Linked DNA regions of Rhinolophus ferrumequinum. The protein of the gene in region 3 purifies or fractionates together with the protein of the main gene of each other region. This does not show direct contact. Links are inferred from orthologs where the notes say so. Each region holds a gene or a part of one and is shown on either strand. Other genes may lie near its edges.

The links. Proteins that work in one complex are often made in the same cells at the same time.
Region 1: the proteins of MAP1S (region 3) and RASSF1 purify together in Homo sapiens (affinity purification with mass spectrometry; 4 studies listed by BioGRID and IntAct, counting the BioPlex papers as one, with this or other methods). This does not show direct contact. The link is inferred for Rhinolophus ferrumequinum from reciprocal best matches to the Homo sapiens genes MAP1S and RASSF1.
Region 2: the proteins of MAP1S (region 3) and STK4 purify together in Homo sapiens (affinity purification with mass spectrometry; 3 studies listed by BioGRID and IntAct, with this or other methods). This does not show direct contact. The link is inferred for Rhinolophus ferrumequinum from reciprocal best matches to the Homo sapiens genes MAP1S and STK4.

Annotation. Positions count from the first base shown.
Region 1 is NC_046300.1:6,263,508-6,267,250, reverse strand, and holds the start of RASSF1 (ras association domain-containing protein 1), read right to left. Parts: upstream 2,894-3,743; 5' UTR 2,739-2,893; coding exon 2,489-2,738; intron 1,632-2,488; exon of another isoform or gene 1,529-1,631; intron 591-1,528; coding exon 484-590; intron 43-483; exon of another isoform or gene 1-42. Other genes in the region: ZMYND10 (zinc finger MYND domain-containing protein 10), read right to left, coding at 3,347-3,422, 3,514-3,639. UniProt on the Homo sapiens protein: Potential tumor suppressor. Required for death receptor-dependent apoptosis. Mediates activation of STK3/MST2 and STK4/MST1 during Fas-induced apoptosis by preventing their dephosphorylation.
Region 2 is NC_046306.1:12,782,348-12,786,090, forward strand, and holds the start of STK4 (serine/threonine-protein kinase 4), read right to left. Parts: upstream 2,148-3,743; 5' UTR 2,070-2,147; coding exon 2,035-2,069; intron 1-2,034. Other genes in the region: TOMM34 (mitochondrial import receptor subunit TOM34), read left to right, coding at 3,246-3,372. UniProt on the Homo sapiens protein: Stress-activated, pro-apoptotic kinase which, following caspase-cleavage, enters the nucleus and induces chromatin condensation followed by internucleosomal DNA fragmentation.
Region 3 is NC_046301.1:50,744,302-50,748,044, reverse strand, and holds the start of MAP1S (microtubule-associated protein 1S), read right to left. Parts: upstream 2,369-3,743; 5' UTR 2,349-2,368; coding exon 2,222-2,348; intron 1,866-2,221; coding exon 1,620-1,865; intron 932-1,619; coding exon 830-931; intron 148-829; exon of another isoform or gene 10-147; intron 1-9. UniProt on the Homo sapiens protein: Microtubule-associated protein that mediates aggregation of mitochondria resulting in cell death and genomic destruction (MAGD). Plays a role in anchoring the microtubule organizing center to the centrosomes. Binds to DNA. Plays a role in apoptosis.

The sequences.
Region 1 (3,743 bases), on a different chromosome or scaffold from region 3:
TGTGCGCGTGCGCTGGGGCCAGTGCCCGCACCACGACCGTTAGCACGGAAACATAGCCCGCAGAGTCTAGCTCTGGTCTCATTGGAGGAGGAACTTCGAGGGGCGGGGCCACACGCGCATCGCCTCCGGGAATGATCTCAGCGCCCAGGCAGCTCAACTCAGCTCCACCCGCAGGCCCCACCTCCCCAAGGGACCACGTCGGAGCGTGTGCGCATGTGCACCAGCGTGGCTGCAGGACCGGATGCGGAAAGGTGCGGAAGTTGCGCGGGCGCAGAGCCTGGGCGATTGTGGCAGTCCGCACGAAGGCGGCACCCTCGGCACCCCTTCGAGCCCGCGCGCGCAGAGTTAGCCACTCTCCGCCGCGGGAAAATCTGCTGTCAGAACGCCCATTGCGCGTAACGCCGGGAGGGCCAAAGCATTGCAATGCGGCCCGCTAGTCTACGCGTCCCTGTCTCGCCCGTTCGCCGTCGGCCCCGCACTTACCACGTTCGTGTCCCGCTCCAGCGCCGGTTCCCAGCCCAGGTCCCGGGGCCCGCAGCAGTCCAGGCAGACGAGCGCGCGGCAACGGTAGTGGCAGGTGAACTTGCAATCTGTAGAGAGGCCTGGCCGTGAGACGGAGGAGCGCCAGCCTGGCGATGCGTCCCGGGGACGGAAGAGAAGCCCCGGGGTGAAGGCCATTGACCACCGGGCTCTGCATGACCGGCCATTTCAGGCCCCGTTACCGCCCACTGCCACACAGATTCTAGTGTTGGTCCCCGGCGTCCGGAAACGGGCAGGAAGGCATCGGGCTGTTAGGGAATCCAGGCCTGCTCTAGCGCCTAGCGCAGAACGTCCCCCTTCCACATTGTCAGCCCCCTCCCAGTGCCCTTGAAGGGGAAAATAGTTTTAATCCACGGCCCCCTCCAGTCATCTGTCTCAACTCCCCTCACACTAAAGCTTATCAACACTGATCTACATGCACTGTAATTTTTTGCCTTCACTCTTCTCTACCTATTCCAGTAGGGCTTGCCCCTCCCTCCAGGAAACTGTCCTGGTCTCGGTCCCTCAGCAACAGGCTCAAAGCCGATTCCGGTGGTCCCTTCTCTATCCTCACCTCAAAATCTGATGCTGCTCCCCTTGGTTCTCATGGACCCCCATGACCCCGATTTTCCCTCCTACTTCCCTGCAGCTCCTCTTGGTTCTGTCTCAATTCCCAGATCTAATGGCAGGCAGTGTCACAGAGGCTCAGTCTTGATCGCTTCTCTGCTCTGTGTACACTCACCCAGGATCCAAGGCTTCCATCAGTGGCCTCCCTCTCAGATCAACTCCTATGTGTCAGTACCTTCACTTCGATGTCTAATAGACATTTCAGTTCAACATGGCCAAAATTGAACTCACTTTTTTTCCACTTCTCCTTACCCTCACCAGAGTTCCTTGTCTCAGCAAAAGTTGCTACTATTCTCCCAGTTGTTTGAGGCAAACAAAACAACAAAAACCCAAAGCCAAATTTGTCCTTTATTCCTCCCCCGTTTCTGCCTCTGACACATACCCAAATTGTCCTGTTTTTCATCTCCATGGCCACTTTATTCCTGCTGGCGAACACTGCAGTGTCCCAGCCCTTATTCATGCCTTGTATTCTGCCACATCTCCGGTGTCCCCCAGCTGAATTCAGGACAGAGTCCTGTACTGGATGAGAGGGTCTCCATGCACACACAGACAGGCCTGGGACACCTTCCCTAAGTTCTTAAATGGGCCAGAGCAGTGATTCTCAACCCAGGCTGCACATTAGAAAGATGTTTTTAAAAATCCCTGATAAACTCCCAGTGATTGATTAAACAGGTCTGAGGTAGGGGCCAGGCATAGGGATTTGGAGGGCTGTACAAGCATCCCAAATGATTTTAGTTCGCAGATAGCCAGTGGGAGAGCAACTTCTGCTTGCTGTTGATTACCAGGAGGGCAGAAGGGCTGCTGGTGTGTGGGTGTCTGGGTCTCACGTTTTAGCACCTAATTGACAGGGTCTGTGATACATAATTGCTATCATCAAAATTCCTGCTTGCAGGGGGCCCGCCCAAGGTTCTAACTTTTCCCAAGCCCCCTCCCATAGGTGCGAAAATTCCCTTCACCCCAGGGATTCTGGAAGGGGACATTGGTGAGTGAACCTTTGGGAAGAGTCAGTCCTGGGAATATGGACTCAGAGACTGGTAGGCACAAAGCCTTTCTCAAGAAGGGCCAAGGCATTTTAAAGGTAAGAAACTTGAAATCAGCACCTTATTATTTACAGACAACTGCCTCTACCCAACTGTGCCCCAGACACGGGGGGCGCAGCAAGGATATAAAACATGTGCCTACACTCTCTTCCAAAATGGGGCAAAGGTAACGGACCTGGTCCTCAGGGACTGTCCCCACCGACCCTCCCCCACCCACACACACACACAACTTGAACTGCAGCGACGGTGCTGCCCCTTGACCACCCATTTCGCTCTCGCCAGCGCGTGGGGCCGCTACTCACGCGCGCACTGCAGGCCCTTGCGCACGACGCCCCAGATGAAGTCGCCGCAGAGGTCGCACCACGTGTGCGTGGTGGGCCCCGCAGGCTGGAAGCGGTGACCTCGGCCCGGGACCGGCTGCCTTGCCGGATTGCGCGCTGTGCCAGGCGCGATGCGCAGCGCGTTGGCACGCTCCAGCCGGGTGCGACCCGGGCGGGCGCGCCCCACCGGTGCCAGTTCCCGCAGTTCAATGAGCTCAGGATCAGCGGACATGGCCCGGTCGGCCCAGGCTCCGGCCGGCTCTGGGCGCGAACGAGCGCGGGGCCGGTAGGACCGCGGGGCGGGCCCCGATGCGGCGCCGCCCCTGAGATCCAGGCAGAGCGGTGGGCGAGAGCCGAGGAGAGCAGCTCAGTAGAAACCGGGGTGCCCAGACTGTGTCGGCCCGCAGGCAGAGTGGGGCCGCGGTGGACTCTCGCGGTGTCCCCGCCCTCCTTTCCTTCCCTCCCTTCATCCCACGAGCAACTCTCCTCCCCCTAACGACGACGACCGCAAAGGGCCACGCGGAGACAGGCGTGTTTCTGGAAGCCAGCTTTACTGTGCAAGAGGAAGAGGGTCCCCACATCCGGCCCCCGCCCTTGTCCCTCCTCCCCCCAGGCCTCCTGCCCCAGCTGAGGCAGCGCCCTAAGCCTACCCGCTGGGTGCGGCAGGAAGCGGGGAGCGCTTTGCTGGGGAAGATGGGGCAGCAGCTCCAGCCCGCCTGCTGGGCTCACCACCTGGGAAATTGGGGCTCTTGCAGAAGCCAGGCGGAAATGCTGAGGTTCAGGGGCACATTCTAGCTGGGGTGTATGGAATGGGTGGCCCGCTCTCAGGAGCTGCAGTCTTCACTTTGCTCTGTCACCTTGGGCTGCCAGGACACAAGCCTTTCCATGCTTCGCCCAGTGCTTGACTTGGCACTCCCTGCAGGCAAGTGGGCCTGTGAGGATGCAGCGCTTGTGGAGGGTGTGGAAGTGTGGCTTAGGGACCCGCTAAGGTCCCAGGATACCCTCACCTGCAGCAATACCACTCATTCTGGCACCGTGAACAGCGCTTCGAGGCCTCCGCACTGCAGTAGGCACAGCGGGGCCGCTCTGGAGCCACTGCCTCTAGCACATCCAGCCTGTAGGTCTCAGCCCACCTGGGAAAAGGGTCAGGGAGGGCTGGCTGGGCCTCATGGGTGGGGGCACAGGAGCATCCCTGCCTACGTCCATGCCTTCTGCATCCCTCCCAGCACTCAGCTCA
Region 2 (3,743 bases), on a different chromosome or scaffold from region 3:
ACAAACTAATACAAACGATGATCAAGTTATCATTTGTATTATCGTTGCTGCAAACTAGGCAGTCTGCTAGTTATGAGGCCAGGAAAGCAATCATTCAAGAATTCGGCCCTGCCATGGCTCTTCTCTTGCACATTTAACACATTTTTTTAAAATCTAAAAGACACAGGAATGAGTGTCAAAAGCAAAAAAGTTCACTCTTTTGCACACGATTATACAACACAAGGCAAAGGTAGAAACAAAACTCAGATGTCTAATTTTCTTTTCAAGTAAACCAACACCATGGAGAAAGAATGAACATTATTTCATTAAGAAATATAACCGGTGTACATTCATAATTGGCTCACGATGGTGCGATAGCAAATCTTTGCTAACATACACAGGCCCTGTGAAACAGGGAGACTTCCAGAGAGGCATCAGAACCATGCAGTTAAGAGCATGGACTCTGGACCACACTGCCTGGATTAAAACCCCAGCTTTGCTACTTACTAACTGTGGGACCTCCAGCAAATCACTAACCTTTCTGTGCTTCAGTTTTATCACCGGTAACATAGATACAGAGATAACCGCCTCATTGGAATGTTGTGAGGATCAAATGTGTAAGTTGAATCATGTGAAATTACCATTTTTATAGGTCAAAAATGGTCAATATCAACAATTCCATATGGTTCAACAGGAGACATGGAAAAAGTACTGAGAACAGCGTCCAGCATTCAGTAAGTGCGGTGTGAGTGTAATAATCATTCTTATTTCAGTCTCAGCACACTGTAGTAGGGTGAATTATGAGTCCATCCTAACCAGCTACTTGCCTTCTGCAGTGTTTGTGCACTTCAAACAAACCCCAAGTGTGCAGCCCACGCTGCCAATCCCTTCCCTTCATCTCTCTATTGCCCTGCAGTCCACACACTAAACACTTCCTACTTCAGTGCTCCTTCTGCTGCAGGAAGTGAGGTCTCTGTGAAAGAGAAGCTAACTAACTACCCTGCACCTCGGAGAAGCATGACTTCCCTGCGTATCAACTATTTTTCTCCAGATGTGGCAGAGTGACACAGAGCTTAGTGTCCATGGAACAAATCAATGATACAACTGCCACCAACTCAGGAGTTCAGACTTTCTAGGCTCAGTCACCTTCCTGTTTTAAGAGCTTGACTTAAAACAATTCCAGGTAGCTGTAGGATCTGGAGGTGATATTCACAACAATCAAGGCCTGAAAAAGGCACAGTCTGGCCCGGGTCTAAGGATGCATTGCTAGTGCAAAAAAGGAAACACACAAGAGTGTGTCTCAACTCTCTGGGCCTCAATTTGCCCATTTATTCTTATTTCCTTATCTACCTTCCAAAGTCAGGTTTTGAAGAGCTGAGGAGGATGTCAAAAAAAAAAAAAGGAAGACACCAGACATCAGGAATGAAAAGATGCCGTCTGTCATTCCTGCTAGAGTGGGATCAGTACCAAAAAATCTTCCTAAATGCTATCCTCCACACCCCCTTCCCTTGCTAGACCTTTACCTTTTCTTGGCACACCTTCTGCCTTAGGAGCAAAGCTTTCCTCTCCCCTCAGCAGATCCTCCCCACGCTGTACCCCACGGGTGGGACTCCTTCCCTTACAAAGTCCACCCAGCCTTCCTCTCTGCTTGTCCAGATCCATTCCTTAGACCCCTCACAGGTTCTCATCCTGCTTCCACATTCCCCCTATCCCAGCGAGTCCCCAGGATAGCCTTCCCCCAGTAGCCCCAGCCCTCAGCAGGTGCTCTCTCGAACTTGTCCCCGCCTTCCTCAGCAGCTGCTCCCTTCAGTGATGCCCCTCTTCCCCGAGGATGTCCCCTCACAGAAAGTGCTCTCCCTAACCAGACCCACGTTTATCCCCCTCCGCGCCTGCTCCCCTCTGTCGGACCACCAGCCGCCAGAGGTCCCCTATTCAGCAGGTGCCCCATCAGCCGGATCGCCCGCCCCGTAGGTCCCTCCCCTCCGGGGGGCTCGCACATAGGTGTCCCTGCCTTTCCCTCCCCAACGCCGTTCCTCTTAGCCAGTGGCCCCTCACCGGCGCGGCGGGTTCCTCAGCTGCACGGTCTCCATGGCGCTGCCAGCAGCCGCCCAGACCCGCTCACTGACCCATCCTCCCCCGGGACCTCCCTGAGCCCGCCCAGCAGACCCTCCCACACTTCCGCTTTCCGCCCATACCGGAAGCGGCGTGAGGCGCGGGGAGCTGGGCAGGGCCCTGAGGCACCGGCCTAGATCACGTGGTGAGGGCCTGAGTCAGGTGGCGAACCAGGGCGCGGACCCGGAACTGTGGAGTCAAGAAGGCTCCTACTCTGTGTGCCCCAGTCAGGTTCGAGACTTGATGATGCGGTCTCGTTGCGACGCTTTGCCCAAAACACTCGGTCCCCAGGCCCACAACCCGTCTCTGCCTCGGTCCCGATCCCCCATTTCTCTGACGGAGATGCTGAGGCTGCTTGAGAAGTGCCGGCCTCAGTCTTTGAGAAAAACTAAACTGACACTCAGAGTGAGAAGTACTAAATTAGGGATAAACCCGGGGAACAAGTCCACATAGTGGAAGAGGGGAGGAGTAGTCAAGAAAGATTCGCAGATAAAATATTTGAGTTGATTGAGTCAGGATAAGGCAAGAGAAACGGTGTTTGGAAAATAATTCCAAGAGAAGAGCATAAACAAAGGTTAGGAAGCAAGAGAAACAGAAACAGATTCATGTGTACAGGTGGCAGTGCCTTTGCATTTGCGATCCCTCTGTCTGCAACAGCGTTGCCTAAATCTCAGGTCTTAGCTGTTAGTCCCTCGGATGCTTTCCCCATCCTCCTTATCTAAAATAGTCCCCACGTGGTCCCTTTCTAGTGCAGTAGTGTTTTATTTTCCTTATAACACTAACAACATTCTGAGGTTATCCTCTTCACTTGCTGATGAGTTAATTGCCTTTCAGGTCCCACTAGTATACAAAAGAAAGCAGGGACTTCGCCTCTTTGTTTCACGCATAGTGCTGCAACACACCAAGGCGCCCAACGCCGCTCCAAAGAGGTAGTGGCCCTCCGAAGCGTGTACGCCACACTGCGCATGCGCCGAGGGCCCGGCGCTGCGGCCCCCTGATTGGCGCAGGCCTCAACCCCGCCCACCTGCGTCCCTCCTCCGGGTCAGCTTGGCCATCGGACCCAGTACTCGCAGCTTGTGCTTCCGCCCGGACGCTTTTCCGCAAGACTCGGCGGCGGGAACGGACGCGCCCCCCATTTGCCGGCCGGTCCCGGGATGGCCCCCAAACTTGCCAACTCTGTGGAGGGGCTCCGCGCCGCCGGCAACCAGAGCTTCCGCAACGGCCAGTTCGCCGAGGCTGCCACCTTCTACAGCCGCGCGCTGCGAGTGATGCAGGCGCAAGGTACGACCCTGGCCCTCGTTTTCTCCGCCAGGGCTGCTTCTCTCTCGTCTCCCCCAGCCCCCCCCCCCCCCGGAGCCGAATTACTCAGACCTCGCTCTGTCCCTCGGTTCAGGGGGCTTCCTTTCCCCATGGCCCACTGTCCCACCAGGCGCCTCCACCACCCTTCCCGCCCATGTGGCATCTTACGAGTAACTTCCTTGGCCCTTTCTTCCTGCCTTTTAAAAAAATCGTAATATGGTTTTATTATTCGTTCTTTTTCACTTAATGACATACCAGAAACATAGTTCCATGTTAATAGGTGTTTTATCATTTTTTTTTGTTATGGTAAAAACACAACATTAAATTTACCATTTTAACCATTTTTAAGTGTT
Region 3 (3,743 bases):
CCAGTTAACCTTTAGCAGTTTATCACGTGTTTCTTATCACACATCCAAGTATTGCCCAATTCAGGTGGGGAAACCAAGGCACAAAGAGGGGAAGTGGCAGTGGAGGTCACACAAGGCCGGCATGGGATTTCCAGCCCCGCCCCCATCCTGTAAGAGGTCAGGAAGCCACCTGGAACTGCTTGGACAATGAGGCGGTGGTCACTTCCTTCCCCTCCTGCAGCAGCCTGGACATGACTCAAAGGGCTGGCTGAGGCAAGGGGGGGCTACAGGCGACAGCCGGGTTCCACCTAGCAGCTGCTCTGTTCACCCCAGGTCACCCCAGAATCCCCAGGGAGCCACAGGCTATGTGAAGCTGGCCCAGGCATCCCAAATTTCTCCTCGATCTTACTCCTTTCTCAGCTCCCCATCTACTGAGTACCTGCTGTGTACCGGGCGTGTGCAGGAGTCACAGCCACTCACCAGACACATTCTGTCACACAAGGCCCGTACTCCCCCCTCTAAGCCCACCCAGCAGTCCCTCACTTTCCAAATGTCCTGTCTCTTTGCCTGGGCCCTTCCCTCCACCTGATACAGCAGCCCCAGCTGCTTCTCCTCCACAAAGCCCCCTTTTTGGAGGTCTCCCTATCCCCTACACCTCAGCTGCCTCATCTGTCAAAGGGGGATAAAAACGCAAGTTCCTGCCTCATAGGCTGTTGAGACAGCACTCCTGCCCCTGCTCTGCACAGGGCAGAGCTCAGGTGATTACTGCCATTGTTTGGACACTCAGAGAACACTTGCCCAATGAACACAGAAGGGGAGCAGCTGCGGCACACGGGGTCCCCAGCCTCACCTTTCACGATGCTGGAGAAGGTGGCTGAGTGCCGGGACACGAAGACCTTGAGCTGCTCATCCAGGCTGCAGATGCCAGGGTCAATGTCCCAGGACCGGATGCCTGGTGGGGGTAGGGGAAGCGAGGTGGGAAATCAGCCCCCTCCCCACAAGCTGCAGTGACAGCCTGGAAACTCAGAACCACCTCATGGGCCCTACGGGCTCACGGCAGCTGCACTGAGGACCCCAAAGTGTAACTTGGCATTTTACAGAGAAGATTCAGGACCTCAGCAAGAAAGCCCCCACCTGAATGGTCATCTGGCCCCCCCAGCATCTGCCTCACCCCACCATGGGTCTCACTGCTCTTCTCTACTGCTAGGCGTATTCCCACCTCTGGGCTTTGGCACCAGTTGTTCCCACTGTCCAACCCTTCCCACACCTTCCCACACCTCCCCACCCTTCAGGTCCTCTGGCCTTTGCATCCATCTGGACACTCCTGACACTGTTTGAGCTAAAAATTCGTTCCAGCTCCGCACTCATCTTGGGTCTACCCCAACCAGACCGTTTAGCCCTGTGACAGCAGGGCTCAGCCTGCCAATCGTCCCCACCCTGTGCCCTGCAGGGGAACATTCCCCAAGAGGATGAAGAGAGGTGTGTGCTGCCTCCCATTTTCCAGGCGACAGACCCCAGGCCCTGCCAACTGGAGAGATGAATGCCCTCCAACCACGGTGTGTGGTGCACCACGCCAGCGGGTCCCACCGTGCCAAGTAACTGCAGGTGAAGTGAACCTTGCAGGTGCACCTATGACTCACCTCCCCAGGTGCCAAATCTCTTGGGTAGGCCGCACTCGCCCACACTCCAATTAGCAGCAACTTGTGGTGCCACGGAAAGTGGGCCCTGGGGCTCCAGGCCCGGCCTCCTCATCCCTGCTCCTCCCTCCAGGACATCCAGGCTGCTAAGACCCGGGGAATCGAGGCGACCCGCCCTCCTCTGGGCAGGCCCGGCGGGCGGGAAGCGTAGTCGTCGCCCGTGTTGCCCAATCGCGCGGGTCCCAAAGCCTGGGCCGAGTCCGCTTCACGGACTGCACCCGAGTTGGGGCTGAGCAACCCAGCTCGGGCCCAGACGTCCACAGCCTCCGCCCGCGCCGTGCGCCTAACGGTGAGGGGAACCGAGCCCCGGGCCCCTGGATCACGCCGCCTAAACCCCTGGCCCAGCCGCCCGGCCCTGGCCTCCGGGATCCCGCCATCCTCCGCCCGGTGTCCCGGCCCCAGCCCCTAGGATCCAACCGTCCCCCACCCCCAGCCCGGTCTGGCCGCCACACCCTCCGGGCCCCCGCCCCATCCCCCAACCCTGGCTCGGCCGTCCCACCCCTCGTCTCTCTACTCCCGGCCCCGCTCCCCCGCCCCGGCCTGACCTCGTTCGAGCTCCTCCAATACATAGGCCAGCAGCCCCGGGCACCCGCATTCGCCTCCCACCACGAGTAGCAAGGCGCTGGGCGCCTCAGCCACCCGGGGCCCTGCCGCCGCCGCCGCCGCCGCCATCTTCGCACCGCCCTGACGCTAAGAGCACCCGCCCCTCTGGCCCCGCCTCCCCTGCCCCTGCCCCTTAAAGGGGCCGCACCGGAAACGCTGAAGACCCCGCCCGGAAGCCCCCCTCCTTCCGCTTATCTGCACCCTCCCGGCCTTTTGAGGTCTGGGCTGGTGGACTCTTGGGTCTCGCTTTGGGCTTCTCTCCCTAATGATCATCCATCCATCCATCCATCCATCCATCCATCTAACAAGCTTTGACTGCATGCCTACCACATGCGAATCAGAATCCCTGCCCTCCGGGAGCTCACCTCACATCGCATCACAGTGGGCCCAATCAGAATCATGCCCAAATACTCCTAGCTCCCTAGGTCAGGGCTTAAACAGAGAAAAGAAAGGTATCTTATAGTTCGGGCTTTGAGGGATATGTGGGGGTTTGCCAGGTGTGGGTGGTGGAGCAAGTGCACGGTGAGGCAGAAGCGCATGCTCCTGTGAAGTTTTAGAGCTAGCAAAGGACAGTATGTTTCAGACATTCCAGAGCACTTTGGGCCTGGAGTGAGGCAACCCACTTCTGCACCTGCTGTGTGCCAAGCATTTTATTCCACTAGCTCATTAAGTACATCCCTAAACCTCTGAGGTATGTGCTGTTATCAGGGTCATTTCAAAGGAAAGGAGAGAAAACTTAGGCTTGGAGAGATGAAGTCACGGGCCCATAAATGGTAGAACAGAGATTAGAACTCAGGTGGGCCTGATTCAAGATCCAGCCTGTGGCAGGGACTGACTGCCTGGTTCACAGGGGTACCCCTCGCTCCCCAATCTCATTCAGCCCTTTTACATATGGCTGTCAATACTTGAAAAACCATGTTGCATTAAACATTTTGACAGGGGCCGGTGCCCATGCTGTCTCCCTTGGGAGTGAGTTCCCCATCTCTGGAGGTATACAAAAGAAATCAAGACAAATGAAAAGATCTGAAAAGCAGAATTAGCCTCCCTCAACCCTTCATTATCTGACTTGTTCAGCCCAACTTCCTCCCTAGTGAGTATGTAACAGTCACTAGCCACGTGCTGTCTAACGTTCTGACACTCCACTTCCTCTCTTTTTGGCTCTAGCATCCTTCCTCTATTCCAGTCCCTCCCCCTTGGCTCCCTTCCTTGTGTCCTGGCTGCTCATGATTTTTTAAAACTTTGCTCTGAGCAAAGTTTTACCCTTGATCTTAGCCAAAAGGCTAAGAAGCGATCTGAGCAAAGTTTTAATCAGGAGAATGGGAGTGTCAGTCAGGCTCTGTCTCCTCCACAAGGATGGAAGCTTGTTGGAGGCCACACCAGGCTGAGGCCTCTCCGGAGCCCTGCTCTTTTGCAGGACAAGGCTGGGTATCTGGGAATTGTATGGCAAAGGCTTGTGGGATGGGG